Nothobranchius furzeri: one gene and its partners. The protein of the gene in region 2 purifies or fractionates together with the protein of the main gene of each other region. This does not show direct contact. Links are inferred from orthologs where the notes say so. Each region holds a gene or a part of one and is shown on either strand. Other genes may lie near its edges.

Evidence for each region.
Region 1: the proteins of anapc11 (region 2) and anapc2 purify together in Homo sapiens (affinity purification with western blotting; 7 studies listed by BioGRID and IntAct, with this or other methods). This does not show direct contact. The link is inferred for Nothobranchius furzeri from reciprocal best matches to the Homo sapiens genes ANAPC11 and ANAPC2.
Region 3: the proteins of anapc11 (region 2) and anapc4 purify together in Homo sapiens (affinity purification with mass spectrometry; 8 studies listed by BioGRID and IntAct, with this or other methods). This does not show direct contact. The link is inferred for Nothobranchius furzeri from reciprocal best matches to the Homo sapiens genes ANAPC11 and ANAPC4.

What each region holds. Positions count from the first base shown.
Region 1 is NC_091745.1:17,492,534-17,496,186, reverse strand, and holds part of anapc2 (anaphase-promoting complex subunit 2), read right to left. Parts: coding exon 3,461-3,653; intron 3,350-3,460; coding exon 3,217-3,349; intron 3,069-3,216; coding exon 2,827-3,068; intron 1-2,826. UniProt on the Homo sapiens protein: Together with the RING-H2 protein ANAPC11, constitutes the catalytic component of the anaphase promoting complex/cyclosome (APC/C), a cell cycle-regulated E3 ubiquitin ligase that controls progression through mitosis and the G1 phase of the cell cycle.
Region 2 is NC_091744.1:6,780,316-6,783,616, forward strand, and holds anapc11 (anaphase-promoting complex subunit 11), read left to right. Parts: upstream 1-1,472; 5' UTR 1,473-1,822; coding exon 1,823-1,931; intron 1,932-2,522; coding exon 2,523-2,668; 3' UTR 2,669-2,791; downstream 2,792-3,301. UniProt on the Homo sapiens protein: Together with the cullin protein ANAPC2, constitutes the catalytic component of the anaphase promoting complex/cyclosome (APC/C), a cell cycle-regulated E3 ubiquitin ligase that controls progression through mitosis and the G1 phase of the cell cycle.
Region 3 is NC_091748.1:39,288,516-39,292,639, forward strand, and holds the start of anapc4 (anaphase-promoting complex subunit 4), read left to right. Parts: upstream 1-1,276; 5' UTR 1,277-1,455; intron 1,456-2,088; 5' UTR 2,089-2,096; coding exon 2,097-2,204; intron 2,205-2,286; coding exon 2,287-2,392; intron 2,393-2,461; coding exon 2,462-2,594; intron 2,595-2,677; coding exon 2,678-2,752; intron 2,753-2,830; coding exon 2,831-2,857; intron 2,858-2,942; coding exon 2,943-2,987; intron 2,988-3,087; coding exon 3,088-3,172; intron 3,173-3,391; coding exon 3,392-3,499; intron 3,500-3,573; coding exon 3,574-3,744; intron 3,745-4,124. UniProt on the Homo sapiens protein: Component of the anaphase promoting complex/cyclosome (APC/C), a cell cycle-regulated E3 ubiquitin ligase that controls progression through mitosis and the G1 phase of the cell cycle.

The DNA of each region.
Region 1 (3,653 bases), on a different chromosome or scaffold from region 2:
TTAGGGTTCCTTTAGTGTGTTCCTCCATCAGATTAAATAATCTCTTAATAAATTCTTGATCATTGCCTGGCGGCCTGTAAACATTTAGTAGAGTCACTGGTTTATGATCAATTTGCCCCACTACCATAACATATCGCCCTTTTCTGTCCCCTATTTGTTGAGTTAACTGAAAGTTAGTCTTATTTCCAATCAATATTGCCACTCCCCTTGCACGTCTCTGTCCATATGATGAGTAGTATATTTGTTTGAACCCCAAACATTTTAATTTCTCATGTTCCTTATTGTTTAGGTGTGTCTCCTGCCAAAAAACTATATCTTGTTTTTCCCTTCTCATCTTAGTAGCCACTTTTTCCTCTTAATGGGGTTATGGAGCCCGTTGACGTTTAATGATACAATGTTATATTCCTGAAATGACATGGTGTTCTCTTAAAACAACATTTACAAAATAGGCTCTCCCTGCACTGATCAACCCGACCCGTAAAAAAACAACAACAACCTGTGCCATAACGAACAACAACTAAACATACATTTGAACATGACTTCCATGAAAGAAGTAAGAAATTCACTTCTAAAACTATGAGGGGAATTCTCTCTGTAGAGGGCCCCTCAAGGGAGTGTGACGTCTGCTCTGGTACCATCCTGTCTCCCTGTAGATGGTGACAATGCACTCTCTTCTTCTCCGTCCAGCGGTCCAATTATTAATTTTCGTCAAACCACAGCTGTCTACTGATAAGTGAACACGATTACAATCCTAGTCTGCATCTTAAAATTAAATATTATTTATCTTCACTCCCTCAAACAGTGTTTCTTTGCCTATGTTAATCAACCTTAAACGGAATGTTTACTCACAACCTCTTAACCAGTTTCAGTCTCTCAGTTGGGATGGGTGGTGAAAACGTGTACGTTTTTCCCGAGCCCCCTGAACATCCACGCCTCTTCCCCGTCCTCGCTCTCGTCCGCTGACCGTCCACGAATTGTCTTTTGGCTTTGCTGGAGTTCCGTTCGTCCCTTGAGCTGGTCCCCTGCTGGACGGTTCTCCAGATCCCTCATCTTCTCCTCCTTTCAGCAGGCCCTTCCTCTGAAGATCTAGCTTTGCTGATGTCACATTCGTGTAGGTAACTGGACCATCTTTGTAGAAGACACGGAGCCTTGCTGGGGCGGGTGTCTGGAATCTTATGCCTTTTTCTTTCAGTATTTTTCGTAACGGGGCATATTCTTTTCGTTTCTGGATGATTTCTATCGGGTAGTCATGATCCATGTAAATCCGATGTCCTTCTATTCGTATATCTTTCTTCAACCATGCCTTCTTCAGCACTTGCTCTTTAATGTTATATTCAAGGAAACACACAATCATGGATCTGGGGGGCACGTGTGCAGGAGGCTTCTGCCCGAGTGATCTGTGGCATCGTTGTATCCCCAACTCTGCATTCTGCATACCTAGTTCAGTCTTTAAGAGCTTCTCCACATATTCAGTCGGGTTGTCAGCTTCCCGGTCCTCTGGTATTCCAAATATACGAAGGTTGTTCCTCCGTGACCGGGTCTCCAGATCAGTTAGCTTGGCCAGCATTCGCTGTTGTTCCTCTACGGTCCGAAGGAGCACATCTTTAGCATTAGCGCTCCACTCTTCCACCTCTCCCACTCTTTGCTCCATTTCTTCCACTCTCATCTCCGCGCTTTTTAAGTTGGCCCCCACCTCATCCATCTTCTTGTTGATCTCGTCCTTAAAACTCCCCAGCTCTTGCTTCATGTCAACTCTCATCGTCTCCCAAGCTTCGCTGAAGTGTTTTTTCATATCTACGTGGCTAGCCATGATTTCCTCCCGGATAGCCTCCATGCTAGCTTGAAGCGTGGCCATCGTGTTTTGGGCGTCTTCATTCCCTTCCCTCGTCGCCATTCCGTCCTTCTCTTCGTCGGTTTTCCTTTCTGTGGTTTGTATCTTTTTAGTTTTGTATTTCCCCATATATATTTATCGAAGTCTGATGTTATCCGTAGTTGAAAAAATGGGGAAATGCTGGACCCTCGCTGAGCTCCTGACTATGCTTCCACTCGCTTCGCCGCCATACCCGGAAGTCTCGCTAACAGCTAGTTTTAAGATTGAGAATCTCCGACAGCACACGCGAGGGTTGAGGGGGGTGCGGTCTACCACAGCCTCAGTGTGGCTTTCAGAAGCGTTTTCCTAACAGGAAGTGTGGATGAAATATGTCCCCACCCAAGTCTTGACCCTCACTTTAAGGAGAAAATAGCTTCAGACGACAGGATTTAGAGTCTTATTTACTGATATTTAAACATCTCACCTCTGATTGGCTAACAGCATGACTCTACTACTGAATCTGTTTGCTCTGCAACACTGAGGCCTTACCTTCACATATAACACAAGCCTGGAGGAGTTCTGATGTGTGGTGGAGTTGCTAACACTAATGGTTAGCTTCTACTAGCCGGGGCATTCTCTGCTGTTTCCTGGACGCTAAACCTGCTAAGCAACAGCCTTCCCACTACAAGCCAAGATGGGCGAGTCCATGAATGTTAGGTGTCAGTGTGATGTAGATCTGTCAGGGTGTGTGTTTTCATCATCATGGAAGGTTTGAGCTAATGCGGATCATAGGGGTTTCAGCTTTCAGTGAACCTGCTTAAACAGAAATCCTGAAAGTTAAAAATTAGAGCGGGAAGAAGAAGAAAAAAATCAAGAAGAGAGACAGAGAACAGATTAGAATGAGAAAAAATGAAATGGAAGGATCAGAAAACCTAGAAGAGGCAAAGAAGAGATAAAAGGCAGGAAAATGTTGGGAAAAATAAGTGAATAAAAAGAAGAAGCAGGTAGAAGCAGACCTGCAGCTTCTCCTCTCTCTGTTCAGACTGGGTGGTGGTGTTGGAGTCTCTCTCCTCGTCGCTGTCGATCAGCATCACGCCTCGGTCCAGTTTCTCTCTAGATGAGCGGGTCTCCAGGACACAGTACCGCCCTCCTGCTTCCTCCTTCAGAACTCCATGCTGCTGCCACATGGCCAGCTTCCTGTGGACCAGCTCCTTCGGGGCGCCCAGCTTCACGCTCAGCTCCTCCAGGGTCCAAGAGCCTAACGGGAGACAAAAGGACTAATTCAGTGACGGGATTTAGCATCCGGAGGACGAGGTGACCATGGAGAAACCAGAACCAGAGAACGGGTTTTAGGCTCAAATGTAACAAAAGGAAACATTAGCTGAGCGGGGAATTTAAAACCCTACTTTTCTCCTGGAAGTGCAAGATGATGGCCGCGTGGATCGGCGACACCGTGAGGTGGGATAGGACCCGGTCCTCCAGCTCCACATCCAGAGTGACAGAACCGAGGTGAGGCTTCCAGCTCAGAGTCCTCATGGCCTGAAATCACAGACGACCAACATAAAACCCGACCACAGACTTCCTAAATCCTCCAGGAACAGGAATATAACAGGAGTGGAATTTAAACCGAAAACCTGCTGGCGAACGCACCTTGAGCTTCTCGTAGCTGTGTGTGTACGCCTCCATGGCCTGACAGACGACAGCAGGGAGCTCCAGCTTCTCCTCCTTCAGCGTTGGCCAGAACTCTGACGACAGGATGATGGCTGACAGACTGAGCGGCAGCTGCTCCTCTTCGCTCAGCCTCGACTCTTCTTCACGGATGTGACTGTTGATCCTACGAGAG
Region 2 (3,301 bases):
ATTAGCCAAGACTTTATGATTGATCTGGGCGGAATTAATCTGATATAAGTAGATCGGTCAAATAATGCAGATGCATCCTTAACTTCAAGGGAACAAGACATATTTAGCCTTTTTAGGGCCCCGATTCTTAGCGTGTTGTAAATGCTAACTGGCGTAACCAGTCTCAAACTAAACTCATATTGTTAAGCAGCTTTTGATGCCTCTGGTCCCTTCTGGCCCGTTACTAGGCCAGCTAGCTAAATTGATTTTACTCTGATGACTTGTACAATTACTGAACTCACTTAGATATGCATTTCCTAGACGTAATAAGACAGACTATTGAGCGTTTTGCTAAAACCTTATCTCATCAGTGTTTGGTTAGTTGACGACAACAACGAGCTAAGACAAAAACGTCCTCCTTACCTTATTTTTATCTGCTGGACAAATATCCTTCTTTAAAGTGTCTCCTATTAAGATAAAAATTAAAGAAAAAACAAACAACTAAAGCAAGTTGGGTGACTTATATTACCACTCAGAATGAACGGCTAGCTCAACGGTTATCATTTAGAAGCATGCTGAAGCTAACCACAGGGCCTGTTTTCTGCCTCCTGGTTAAACTGTGGCCCCCTTCTGGGTGGAGGAGGAATAACACAAAATTCAAACTACAATAAAACGATCAGATTGAATGAATGGATTAACCTGATGATGACAGGTTTAAGGAATTCTAATGTATTGGTGTAAATGTTGAGGTGTTATGGTTGTCCTTACTGATTACAGCTTTGAGGTATTTTTATTTCTAAAAACAGATTAAAGACAACAAAATCACTAAACTAAAATGGCAAATGTATTCTTAAAACGTATAATGGACTTTGGCACGCATCAAAATTTAAAGATGGGTTCATTAAAGTCTCTAAAATTAGGTATTATTGATAAAATCACAAATGCTGCCAACTTTTCAAAAATATTTCATATTTAATTTTTTATTTATAGCTATTGTAACTTTATAATATAGTTCCCTCCTCATTTATTCATGCGTCTTCTCCTTAACACAAATAATCCGAAAAGGCCAAAAACAGCTTCAATAAATGTCTTCTAAACAGAACCAAAATGTAGTTGCAACTGTTCGCCACTGGAGGGCGGCAATAGCTCATTTTATTCATATAAAGTCAATTAAAACTGCGCTTGTCGCGCCGTAGCTAGCTGAGTTTAGCTATTATCATTTTAAGCAATTATATTTGTAGGAAATTTCTTAATTATGTTATTTAAAAAATCTGGGTCCTTTCTAGCAAGGGGATTACAGATGGGTTAGTACCACAATTAAGTTTCCTCAAGGCTCAGGAAAATGTGATCGCTCATTTGTCAAATGTACATAAATTATGTGTTATTGAATTAAGTATATTTTCTGAGATGTTATTCCTCCATGCCAACATGTCTTTGCATGTCTGCAAATAAAACACCGCAGAGTAGCAGGTGAGAATTACTTTTTCTAAAGAGGGACATATTTCGTTGTAACACCGGATGACAGAAGTAGAAGAATGCTAAGCTAGTTAATTTGATTCTAAGTGTGTGCATTTACTTTAATGAACATACGTTTTTACTGTTGTTGCAAATCATTAAGGCTCATTGGTAGCTGCTCCGTGAACTGTGGTAAATATTTCAATCTGGAAAAAGTGCATTTGGTGGCGATCAATGCAGCTTCTGTGAGACGAACGCCAACCCCGGAAGTAACGGGACACAGCCTTACGTTGCAGAAAACAAATCTTTTTCAAAGTTGTATTTTACTGCTATTGGATGTCGGAAGGAAGAAACTGAATAACTCGCGGACCTGAAGTGCGGTTTGAGGATGAAAGTTAAGATCAGGCAGTGGAACGGGGTGGCCTCCTGGTTGTGGGTGGCCAACGACGAAAACTGCGGGATCTGCAGGATGTCCTTCAACGGCTGCTGCCCGGAGTGTGAGTAACCGAGCTGGGATGGGTTCTGGTTCGAAAGTAGCACCAAATCCGATGTCCTAAAATTAGATTTTAAATGTCCAGAACTAGAATAGGATGCCTTACATTAGCTTAAAACTATTGTTACAGAGCTGCTGAAAGGAAAATGTTTCAGGGTATGTTTGCTGTTAAGGGTGATCCTGCCCTAATGAGATCTGGAAGGCTAACTGAGGCCTACAACGATCTATTTTATTCTATTTAGGTACATCTGAGTGACAAAGGATTACAAAACATCCTTCATCTTTTGGATCAGTAGAAGAACAAACTGTAAAATGTTACTACAGCACCTTAAGAAAGGTCTTATGAATGTTTGTTGTCTGCATCTCATATCTCAAAAACAGCATAGGTTGCTGGTTTAGCTTGTGGACAAGCATACAATGCTGGTCCAGCATCCCATGCTAGACTAGCATTACATGGTGGAGCATCTTACCAGTACCAGTACAAAAGCACAACATATGCTGGAAACCAAACCAGCTGTGCTGTATTTTTCAGCAGGTTCTCTTCAACCTTTTACAGTGACTATTAATAAAATGTAATTAAAGTCTCATTTTGCAGGTAAAGTTCCTGGAGATGACTGCCCACTGGTCTGGGGTCAGTGTTCCCACTGTTTCCACATGCACTGCATCCTGAAATGGCTGAACTCACAGCAGGTGCAGCAGCAGTGTCCGATGTGCCGCCAGGAATGGAAGTTTAAGGAGTGAATCTGTTCATCTGTTTGCAGAATTCCCACATTTTTATCCCAGCTGTAAATAACAAGAGTTGTATTCGTCTACACTGATGCACAATTTTTCTGTTAAGTTTGTGATTAAATCTAAACAAATGAATTATGCTGTTGTGCTGTTGATTTACTGCTGCATCAGACTGATTCAAACTGCAATTCTTTTCAATTAGTTGATGTTTGTGTTTAAAAAAAAGGGGGAAATGGTCAAATAAAGGACAAAAACATAAGTTTTATACAGCAGTATCTAAAGGGTCCGCTGAAAAAAATATTCATCATAGATTTGACACTGCAGGACCAGAAAGGTACTTGGAGAGCAAGTCACCCCCAAATTAACTTTCTTTTCTGATGAACTATATTCAATTCAAAAATACTTTATTAATCCCAGAGGGAAATTAGAGTTTCTGTACACACTAGGGCCCGACTGATATATCGGCCGGCCGATATTGGGGTATTGGCCTAAAAGACGGCTGATGTGGCCGATATTGCGCTACCTATCCAGCAGATGGCACCAGCTTTATGAACTCGTGTTGTGTGTCTCCACTCCTTTGAACTTTGAACACAAATTATTGTTTTGGAACTTATTTATTTATTTATTCTTATTTATGTTTCTTAT
Region 3 (4,124 bases), on a different chromosome or scaffold from region 2:
GATCTTTCAGGTTTAGGGTCCAATTGCGTTCTGCCTCTGCAGTGGGCTGCTGTCCCATCTGTGCTGGTCCCTAACTGCTCTCTGAGTGGGGCTAAATTTGGCCCCTAGCTCATGTTACACAGCCAGACTGCTGGCAGGAGCAATGAAGACTGAGGGGGTCTAGGTGAACAGAAGGAGCTCAAGGTGTTGGTTAATTATACACAGAAAGCACAGGATGTTGGGATGGCTAAGTTTCACACCAATTGTGCTGTTGTATGCAAGTACAACAGAATGTTTGTAATCTTTTATGATAATCTGAACTGGCCACATCTGAAAACACACAATAATCACCCATTGACCTCTCAGACTGAGCTGGTTCCTCCATGGCTTTAAAACAACTCAAAATTATTATGAGGATCTTGAAGAACCCGGTCACTATTCGGTCCGATTCCATTCTGCACACACATATGGAATGATGCTCAGCATTTTTGTTAAACTTCATGCATTTCCTGATTTCTCACCAAGCGAGACAGATATCCTGGGCCTTGGAAAGAATAAACCATGACCACCATGCAGCCTCACTTGGTCTATTTCTAGTCCACCATCACATTTTGTGCTCTCTGAGCTATTCTGGCTCTTCTTCATTCTGCTGATTACAGTTAAGTGCTGCTGATAAGTCCAGTAGGAGTTTCCATATACACTCACAATACACACGTGTGCAAACACTTGGTGAGTAATTTGGATTTCTACTTGACAATTGTCATCACCCAACCCTCTGTATGAAGTGTTATTTATAAATAACTACTTTATCCAATGGCGACGTCTCCATATAACATGTGTACAGCATCTATTTATGAGTACTGAAATATTTTAGCATAGTTTTATATCACCAGAATGAAACCACCCTTGCAAACTTTCCTATATTTCTAATGGAATTAATATAATTTAGTCAACCTTGAATTTTATGATCACTTTTAACTTTTAAATCCAAACAAATTCTAAGCAATGCATTCAATTGACAGAGAAGTACAAAAACACATTATGAAAAAACTTATTTTATATTTTGTCCTAAACCCTCAAAGTTTAAATCTACTTTTTAATCTGCATAGAATATAACATTTATTAAAAAATAAAAATAGGACCAAAACGTTAACTTTAATTTGTTTTAAATCCTTACCAAAGGCGCCATCATGGGGTGCAAATCTCTAGACATATTTAGGAATCGAGTTTTTTTTTATTCCCCCCCCCCCCCCCCCCTTCTGAATACGTTTGTCTCTTCTCGGCTGCCGTTGCTCTACAGGGATTGGTGGAAGTAGAAATATGGCGGTGTTTGAGTGACTGCGAAAATATTACGATGAGATATTAAATTCGTATATTTACGATTTGGGTTTATTTGGTGTTATCGTCTGGTCGGGTTAAAATAATCGCTGTGAATCATCAGTTTTACCTGCTAGCTAACAGCTGTTAGCAAAACCGGTGAGTGAGGCTCCAGCTAACGAGCGGCTAATTTATGCTTCATAAAATGAGTTGGAAATGGAAAAGTGTTGTGCCTTTAGCTCCCTTTTTGTTTTTGAATCTCGTTAAGTACTTCAATGTTTTCTCTTTTAGTTGTGACCCTGAAAACTCTACTGTTATCACGCAGAAAACACATAAATGTTTCAAAGCTCGTCTCCATCGCAGTGTAATTTAAGGTCTCGTTGCTCTCCGCATTGAGTTGTATTGTTTAGTGTGTCTTATTGCTGACGTCATGCTCATAACTCGGTTCTTTCATTACTGATTCTTGACTCTGCATTTGGGCCTCTGTATTCAAATGCTAACATTTCTATTTTTCTTTATTGTTACAATTATTTATTATCTTTACAGAAAAAGATTTTTAATATTTAATAATCAGTTGTATATTCAATAGTAAACGAAATATTGAAAAGGTATGTGATTTTTGATGATTATTCTGTTATGCATGTACAGGTTTATTAGATGTTTTACAGATCACTCATTGAATCTGTTCTCACTTTTAATAGCCCATCTTGGTACATCTTCTAAACCTTGTAATTAGGCCCCTGCTGGCCATTTATCACACAATAATGAATGTAAACTTTCTTTCTTTTTCAGCTAACAACATGCCTGCCTTTCGGCAAGTGGGAGAGAAGCAGCTTCCAAACCCGGTCCTCTGTATGGCATGGTCTCCAAAGAGGGATCTGATAGCTCTGGCCAACACAACTGGGGAGGTGACTTTAAATCCCTAACTGTTCTGAATCAAGGTGACTGTTTCCTGTTGTTTGGATGGTTTATTATTGTGATTTTCAACAGGTGCTACTGCATCGCTTGGCTAGTTTCCACCGGGTTTGGAGCCTACCACCCAGTGAATATACTGGAAAGAAGATAACCGCACTTGCTTGGAGGCCTGATGGCAAAAGTAAGGGATTTTTTTTTATCACATTTTTGTCTTAATGGAATTGTGAGAATTTGTTTTTTGTAACCCCAGTATTGGCCTTCAGTCTTGGAGACACCAAGCAGGTTGTCCTTTGTGGGGTTGAGAAAGCAGAGATCCTCCACATGTTTCCAGTGCAGAGTCCTGTAACCTGTATGAACTGGATGGAGGTGATGGAGGAGAGCAGGTAATCAGGAAGCTCAACAAACATACCACGTTCTGTGAAATCTTGTCAAAGCTGATATGAAGGATTTTTTGTGTGTGATTCAGTGTCCTCAGCTCCTTTTACACTTCAGAGGATGAATCTAAACTTTTTCTTCCTAAATTACCAACTCTTCCCAAGAGGTAAAATTAAAAATGTTGTCACAAGAAAAGACATTTTGGATTGACTGGCCTGATATTTGTCCAAACTTTTGTTTTCAGCTACAGCACAACTTCAAAGATCTTCAGGTGGGACATCTTTTTTTTTTATCATAGATGTATGTGGCATGTATAGCACAAACAGAAACTGACTGCATTCATTTCTGTTTCACAGTGAGGAGAAGTCTGATGAGATACTCAACCTCCTTGGAGAAGTGAGGTAAATATGGTTAGAGTCACTTACTGCCAGGAGCAAATGGACATCCTTAAGATATTGGAATTTTTATTTATGGGAACCAATGAAAGCTGTCTCCATGCAGACTAAATGTACTTGTTCTTGGAGGAGATGGTGGAAATGTGGAGCTGTATGCGTACGGGATGTACAAGATTGCAACGCTGGATGGGGTAAGGCAGCTCTGTTTGTTCAGATGAGTTGTTCCATTTGTCGTCTGTAAAAAAAATTTACCAAAAATGTTTTTAAGTGACTCTAAAGTTAGCATAGATATTTGAAATCATAAAAATTCTAATTTAAATGCAGGAAAAAAGTAGCTAATTATGCCAAAAATCTTTAGTAGACGGCATTAACGGATTTGACTGTGACTTTAATTGATGAACTTTCTACAGGTTTCAGGAACATGTCGCAGTCTGAGTCTGTCGAGTGACCTCAAGTCTCTGTCTGTCATCACAGAAGTCAAGTCTGCTGACAGCAGCGCAGACATCTGTTACGTCCAGGTGAGATGGACACGTTCCTCCTCCACACTTTGTTTTTCTTTCCTTTAACTCTAACTTCCCTCCTTGTGTTTCAGCTGGACACAGGATTGTTGTCGGACTGTTTGCCTGAACTCACCAGGATGGCGCGTAAGTTCACTCACATCTCCACCCTGATGCAGTACCTGCACCTGTCACTCACATGCATGTGCGAAGCGTGGGAGGACATCCTCCTGCAGATGGATCATCGTCTCACTAAGTTTGTTCAGGTCAGTTGTTTTTGTTTCCTGTCAGAGTTTTTCCTGGCAGACCACCACACTTCCTGCCTGCTGTGTGAGTTTGTTGGACAATTAGCAGAATTTAGCATGTGTGCTTATTAGTGATGGGATTTATAGCTCTTTCAAGGCGGCTGCTCGTTAGTTGTTCGTCTACCTTAAAGAGCAGTTCAAAAGACTAGATCCCTTGAACGAAGCCATGGGGGTGTATTTGGGAGCAACGTGTTCCTCCGGTGTCCATGAGGGCGCGCGGAGAGTGGGTGTCACAGCAGTGGTGGGGGTTGAGCGGCTAGGGGGGTTGTCGTTACAGGAAGACAAGATGAACGGCTCTCCACGGGGACTCAGCTCTCATCGTTCACTTTGAAATCTCATTC